Linked DNA regions of Callithrix jacchus. The protein of the gene in region 2 interacts with the protein of the main gene of each other region in a pairwise test. Links are inferred from orthologs where the notes say so. Each region holds a gene or a part of one and is shown on either strand. Other genes may lie near its edges. The genes, in order: OAS2 and CLK3.

What was found.
Region 1: the proteins of CLK3 (region 2) and OAS2 interact in binary tests that used the Homo sapiens proteins (3 or more experiments, as listed by UniProt). The two-hybrid records come from large-scale screens. The link is inferred for Callithrix jacchus from reciprocal best matches to the Homo sapiens genes CLK3 and OAS2.

Annotation. Positions count from the first base shown.
Region 1 is NC_133510.1:115,976,252-115,980,069, forward strand, and holds part of OAS2 (2'-5'-oligoadenylate synthase 2), read left to right. Parts: intron 1-1,345; coding exon 1,346-1,581; intron 1,582-2,089; coding exon 2,090-2,234; intron 2,235-3,818.
Region 2 is NC_133509.1:21,630,383-21,633,654, forward strand, and holds the end of CLK3 (dual specificity protein kinase CLK3), read right to left. Parts: intron 3,239-3,272; coding exon 3,144-3,238; intron 3,053-3,143; coding exon 2,923-3,052; intron 2,624-2,922; coding exon 2,541-2,623; intron 2,093-2,540; coding exon 2,013-2,092; intron 1,755-2,012; coding exon 1,664-1,754; intron 987-1,663; coding exon 810-986; 3' UTR 575-809; downstream 1-574. UniProt on the Homo sapiens protein: Dual specificity kinase acting on both serine/threonine and tyrosine-containing substrates. Phosphorylates serine- and arginine-rich (SR) proteins of the spliceosomal complex.

The DNA.
Region 1 (3,818 bases), on a different chromosome or scaffold from region 2:
TATTAACATAACATACATGTATCCATTCTGCTACTGATAGATGATTGGGTCATTTTCAAACTGGGGCAATGATGAATTAGGTTACCATGGATATTCTCCTACATGTCTTTCTGTGAATGTAAGCACTCATTTCTCTTGGGTAAATATGTAGCAGTAGAATTGCTGGGCTATCTAGTACACATATACAAATGCTGTGTACGTATCTGTGTAAATATATAAAATACATGTGGTTTATTTGATTCTTTTTTGTTTAACTATAGCAAATCTTGCCAAACCATTTCCAAAATCTTACCAAATTACCCTCTCATGAGCAACGTATGAGTTTCAGGCATGTTAATAAACCCAAGGATCTGCTCACCTAGCACAGCAAAGCCAAACAGTGACTTTGGGATTGCAGAGAAAGAGTGAGGCATTTATTGCAGGGAGCCAAGCGGGGAGAACTGGGCAGCTCATGTTTACGAGCTGAACTCCCCAGTGGCTTATAGGTAAGGGTTTTAAAGGTGAGGAGACAGAGGTTACAGGCAAAGCCATAAGTCAACACATGGAGGCTGTACATTGGTTTGACCTAAAAAGGTGGGACACGTCCAAGCAGGAGGGAGGAGGAGGATGGGTGGCACAGGTCACAGGATTCAAAGATCTTCCGATTTTTGATTGGTGAAGTAGGTGAAGCTTTGTCTAAAAATTTCAGATCTGCAGAAAGGAATGTTAGCTCTGGCTCATAGGTGTGACCTCCTCCAGGACCCTCAGGAAGAAATTTAGAACAAAGAAGGAGCCAGGGTTCAATGCTCAGCTTCCTCTTATCTGAGGTCTGCCTGCCAGTGGATTCACTTGGTGGGAGTCTGAGTTTCTGAAAATCAACTCAGGGACATATGTTAAGATGTTATCTTTAGTTTCTACAGGGAACAAAACATCTTCTGACTCTGACTTCCTTGGCTATTGTTTTAAGTGACTATTACCTTCTTTTGTTGTTTTTATTTTATTGGGTTTTTTTTTCACTGCTCCTGTAGACCCTGAACTACTATATTTTTGCTTATCAAATGGCTCATTGACTTTTCAAAGCTAGTGAGGGGCCTGGAATTTCCCTTGAAAGAACTCAAGATTTTCCTTTCTTTTCCTGCTTGTGGGATGGGGGCAGTGGTGGCCTGCAGGCCCCTAAGAGAGGTCCCTGCTCCATCCCAGTTGCTTTACATCTTTGTCAAGACTTGGTATTGTGAGTCCACTGAATTGTAGGCATTCTGGCGAGGGAGAATGACTTCCTGTAGGCTTCTAGCTTCTTGATTTCAGATTGCCGACATAGGAAGAACTCGATCCCCAAATAAGCCACCACCCTTTTCTTCTCCCATAGTGCCAGGAAAAAATGAATGGTTTACCCTTGCTGTCTCCGTACGCCCTGGAGCTGCTTACTGTGTATGCCTGGGAACAGGGGTGCAGACAAGATGACTTCGACATTGCTGAAGGCGTCAGAACCGTTCTGGGGCTGATCAAATGCCAGGAGCAGCTGTGTATCTATTGGATGGTCAACTACAACTTTGAAGATGAGACCGTCAGGAACGTCTTGCTGCACCAGTTCCAATCAGAGAGGTGCCAAGCTTCTCATGCCCTAGCCCTGTACCTCATCATCTGCGTGCTAGGTGTACCTCTTTGGAATGAGATCTCAGCCTTGCCCTGTCCAGTCAGTGATGTACCAGAAGAATGGCAGCCGCCATGGGTGGGGAGGCAGAGGGGTCTGTCTGAAAGAGGGGAGGTCCAACCATTGCTTTTCACGTTCCAAACCATAATCACATTTTGTCCCCTAAACAAACACATGAAGCGACACTTCCCCTTATAGAAAGAAGGGGCTAAGAGAGAAGGGGGAGTGGCAGGAAGAGAAGACCAGTTTGTTGTTTCATTAATAGAATGTCTCTGCAAAGCAGCAAACGCAGGGCCAGAGGAGCTTGATGTCCTAGACAAAACCCTTCAGCAGCTTGGAGGAGCCATGGGAATCCAAATTCAGGTCACCAGATTCCCACTCAAGGCCTCTTTCCCCAATACAGATTTTGCCCCTCACAAGAAGCTCAACTGATTTTTTTTAATCTAATGGAATACACAGGCCAGTAATCTTGGATCCAACCGACCCGACCAATAACGTGAGTGGAGATTACAGATGCTGGCAAAGGCTGAAACAAGAGGCTCAGACCTGGTTGACTTCTCCCAACCTGGATAATGAGTTACCTGCACCATCTTGGAATGTCCTGGTAAGAGGGTTTTCCAAATACACGGTATTGCATGCTGCAGGAAAGTCTTCCTGCCACCCAGGCTAAGTATTATCTGAGAGTTCCCTGTATTAATTTCCTGTGCTGCTGTTACAAAATTCCGCAAAACAGGTGGCTTAAAACCACAGAAATTTATTCTCTCACCATTCTGGATATTGCTGGTTCAAACTCAGGGTGTTGACAGGGCTACACTCTCTCTGCAGGCCTTAAGGAAGAATTATTCCAGGCTTCCTCCAGCTTACAGTAGTTGCCAGCAGTCCTTGGCTTGTGGCTGCATCACTCCAGCCTCTACCCCTGTGGTCACATGCCCTTCTCCCTATGTGTCTTCACATCAGCTTCCCTCTGTGCATATCTGTCTTATTGTCTCCTCTTCTTCTAAGAGCAACAGTCTTACTGAATTAGGGTCCACCCCAATGACCTAATTTTCACTAGATCCCATCTGAAAAGACACTATTTCCAAGTAAAGCACATTCGCCAATACTGTACGTTGGAACCCCAGCATCTTTTAGGGGGACACAGTTCAACCCTCAGCACACCAACAGGGGCAATGACTGTAAAGTCCAAAATGGAACAAAGAGAAACGGGGTACCCACAGATGCAAGATCTCAATTAATTTCTTTAAGAGAGACAGCCAGGCATGCGGAGACATGAAACAGAGCATTGTTCAGAGAAGGGGCGGCAGTCAGGCCTGTCGCTGCCAGGACAGGCTCTGAGCTCCATTCAGGCAGGTGCCGGGGGCAAAAGCCAGAAGTGGGGCCAAAACAGGAGAACCAATTAAGGCACCAGCTGTGAAACAGGTGCACTGGACTTCCCCCTCCCATCCCCAAAAGGAGAAGTAAATCCACCAACACGAACTCCCCTGCATGCTCAGCTCTTATTAGAGAAAAGCCATCCAAGAAGAAACTTCCCAGGTTAGACCACTGAGCCCTCTCAGCTTTCCTGGGAACCTCACTGGGGACAACTTTATTAATTGAGGCCAAAGGGGCCAACCAAATTCCACACTTCACAGGCAGGAGATTAATTTATATCCAAGTTATGGGAGACAGAATCCACATCACATTTGCACAGAAATTTGAAGGCTAACTGAGCACCAATCTGGCATGTAAATGAAGACGTAAATGAGTTTAGCAAAATTCACAGAAGCGGGGGAGTCTATGAATGGGGAACTTCCATAACTGGACCCAGCAGGATCAGGATGCTCTGAGCAGTCACCCCAACCCCTACTTTCACTGGACCCCTGGTCTTTGCTCCCTGACCCCAATTTTCCTGGCTTCTTCAGGCAGATTTTTTTCAAAAAAATTACCCCCTCTTCCCTGACATTTTATTCTGAAGCTTTGAAACATTTAAAAAGTTAAAAAAAATGGTTCAATAAACTGCTAGGAGCCCCTCATGCAGATGCATCCTGTGTGACATTTGCTATGTTAGTTTGTAGTACACGTTATTATTATTGTTGTTATAGTTGTTTTTAATCTATTTTTAAAGGTGGGATCTCACTACATTGGCCAGGCTAATCTCAAACTCCTGGGCTCAAGTGATCCTCCCACCTTGGCCTCCCAAAGTCCTGGA
Region 2 (3,272 bases):
AGATTCCTGTCTTCAGTTATTTCAGGGGCATCCTGCCTATAGTATCCAGTTCCCAAGGAGTCCCCAGTCACGTGGTGAAGCCTAGCACTCATGCAGCTCTTAGAGAACCAAAAACCAGCACTGAAATAAAGCTGAATGACTGAGTCCTATGCCGTGTGTGTGAATTGCTCTGAAGGCTGTCAGGAGGTGCTGCCTGCCCCAGCCTAGGAACCCGCCCCACTTGCCTCCTGCCTTCAGCAGACCATAGTTGTTGGGCACATACAGCCTAAAGTCCCAGCCAGTAATGGGGCTGGCAGGCTACAGAAAACCAGACCCCACAGTGGGCAGAGTCCCTTAGGTTCTTCGGGGCTGAGAGGTACAGCAGCCAGGAGGGCAGAGGTGCCATCTAGGACTGCTCAGCAGACAGGGCCCAGAGGACGTCCCTGCTTCTGGTCTTACCCCTGCCTAGCTCTTCTGTGCCTGGCCCAGTTCACACTTAGCTCTCCACAAGCTGAAGTGCTAAGAAATACTTTATTAGTAAGGTCAGGGAAGGGGAAGGCAAGGAGCCTGGAGATGGACACACTGGTACCAGGGGTTACAAACAGTAAGAAACACTTTATTATAACTTTACAACATATAAATAGCTTGGGTCAAATCTGTGCTTTCTGGCAGCTGGGCACCAAGTCTGCTCCCCTGCAGGCTCCTGCCTTCCTTCACATTGCACTGTTCGTTGGGTGGCTCTGGCCTGGGGCCTGGTGGTCAAGGCTGGAGTCAAGGGGCTGGGCGGCCCAGTCCTGCCCTCCATCTCCTCATGCGGTGGCCTGCGCCTGTCATCTGCTTGGGTTGCGGCTGGTGTGGAAGGACCGCTCCTCGGGGGTCAGGCCAGCAAAGAAGGGGTGCAGCAGGGCCTCGGCCAGTGTGATGCGCTGGGCAGGGTCAAATTCTAACATCCTCCTCATCAGGTCAAACAGCTGCACGTGCTCCAGGGAGTCTTGGAGCATGTAACTCTGCTCAGGGACACAAGGTGCCTCAGTGTGACGGCAGGGTAGTGGGAAGCCTCAGCAGGTCCCCTTGCCTCTGGGATGCCTTGCTGGACTGGATCGAGGAGGCAGTGATGCCTCCTTGGAGGACTCTACTTCCGCCCTCCTGGACAATGAGCAGCTCCTTTCCTTTCATGCCCGTGTTTAACGTTTTGCTCGGAACTTGCCAGGCTACTAGGCGTCTTGCTGGGTTGATGCCTCTGCCCCCACATGCAAAGTCCTGACAGGTGGGTAGAGATCACCTCTGCGAAATTCACTTGTCCAAGCATCAAATGCAGTTGACAGAGGCTTCCTGGCCATTTCTAGGTCTTCCCTCCCCCTCACCTCAGTCCTGCCTAGTTCTTCCCAAAATTTTGAGAGAGGGTGAGAGGGACAGGAAGCAGCAGGGTTTCTGACATCTGGCTCTTCTGGTGTTCCCCAATTAAATTCATAGCCACCCTATGGGGAAGGGGTAGGGCTAAGGGCCCCTCTGGAGCAGTTTGCAAGAAGCCTCACTGCCAGCACCCAGCAGTCTTGGGTGTCGCCTCCCACAGAGCTGGATCGAGGAGGCAGCCTTTAGCGGCCTGGCCTGTCTGATGTATAGTCTGCCCAGTGCCTGGGGTCTCTCCTTGGGATGAGTTGAGCTGGGGAAGCCAGAAACTGACCTTCAGAGGTTTGCAGTTCTCCTTCACATACCGGCCATCAGAGCTGTTCTCATCCCAAACTAGGCCCCCTTTGTAGAAATATTTCTGCTTCCTGAAAATTAAGGCGGTGGGGTCAAGTGGTGATAGTAGTAAGGGGACAAGCCTCTGGTGGGGGGTGGGGAAGAACAGCTCCCAAGACAGCAGCAGAACCAGGGCAACAGGTTTGCAGGGGCACATAGGAAAGGCTTTTAGGAGCCTGGGGAGCCATGGACTGTCCCTCAAAGATTCACCACGTCTAGTACCCTGTTGACCCACAGCCAAAAGAGAAAGGCCCCTATGCCAACCCTGAGGGGGCTACTGGGATACATACCTGGTACGGTGGATCATGTGTGATGGGATGGGCCCTAGGATCTTCTCCATCATCACCAGGTGCTCTCGGTTTTCATGGGTCTGTGGAAGATTAGAGACAGTGCAAGTAGGGTCAGTCCTAGTTCTGGCTTCCTCACGGGGAATAAGGAACAAGAGAGATGGGCAAGTGCCCTCACTGCCCCAGGAGATCTAAGCCTACCAATGAAACGGCAGCCTGGCAGCCCATGCCCTATCCCAGCCCATCCCAATGCCTTTATTCATCTGTGCCCTTATCTAGAAGGTCAGGTCACCTGCCCCATCCGCCCTCCTCGATGGCCTAGCACAAGACTCCTCTCTGAGTGTCCCAGCTACCCTGACTTCTGCATACCCTTTAGCATCCATATCCTTAGGAGTCTGAACCTCACAACATGACCAGTGGGAGGAGGAAGACAACCTGTCTTCTCATCCGCATGGGGCTTCCCAGCCCAGGGGCCTGCAGCCTGTCACAACGGCAGTGCTTGGGTAGGGAAGTGATGCGGGGTAGCTGTACCTGAAAGAGTGTGAAGCCCCGGTAGTACTCAAAGAGAATGCAGCCGATGCTCCAGACGTCACAGGGCTGTGCCCAGCCCAGCTCTGAAAGCCAAGATGGGGAGAGGCTGAGAGATCCGGCCCTGTCCTTGCAGCCTGGAGGTCACAGGGCAACCACCACACTGGCTGGCAGGACTCTTGCCCAAATCCCAGTACAAGGCCCCCTCTCAGTAAGGCTGACAGATAAGGCCAGGTCAGTCACCTGTGTCTCATGACATGGGCCCCTTGATCTGAGAAACTCTGCCTGCCCTGGGTGGCAGAGACTGAAAGGCATGCCACCGCCTCTATTCATACCCTTCCAACAGGTCCAGTGTGACAAGGTCACAGGCCATACAGTCACTCACCAAGGATCACCTCAGGTGGGCGATAGTGACGGGTGGCCACGATGGTTGTGTGATGTTCATGGTCAAAGGTGGCACTGCCGAAGTCAGCCACTCGGATGCTGGTGTTCTTCACTGACTTCTCCTCACAGCTCTGAAAGGCAAGGCAGGCACACCAGGTCAGGAGTCTGTACCAGCGGGTAACCCACCCCTGGAGCAGGGCCTCACCCTACCCCTGCCAATACCTTGTGCTCATTGTAGAGAGTTTCAAACTCAGAATTCACAAACAGGATGTTCTCTGGCTTCAAGTCTGTGTGGGTCAGCTGATTCTCATGCAGAACTAAGAGAGCAGGGAAAGAACAAGAAGTGGGCAC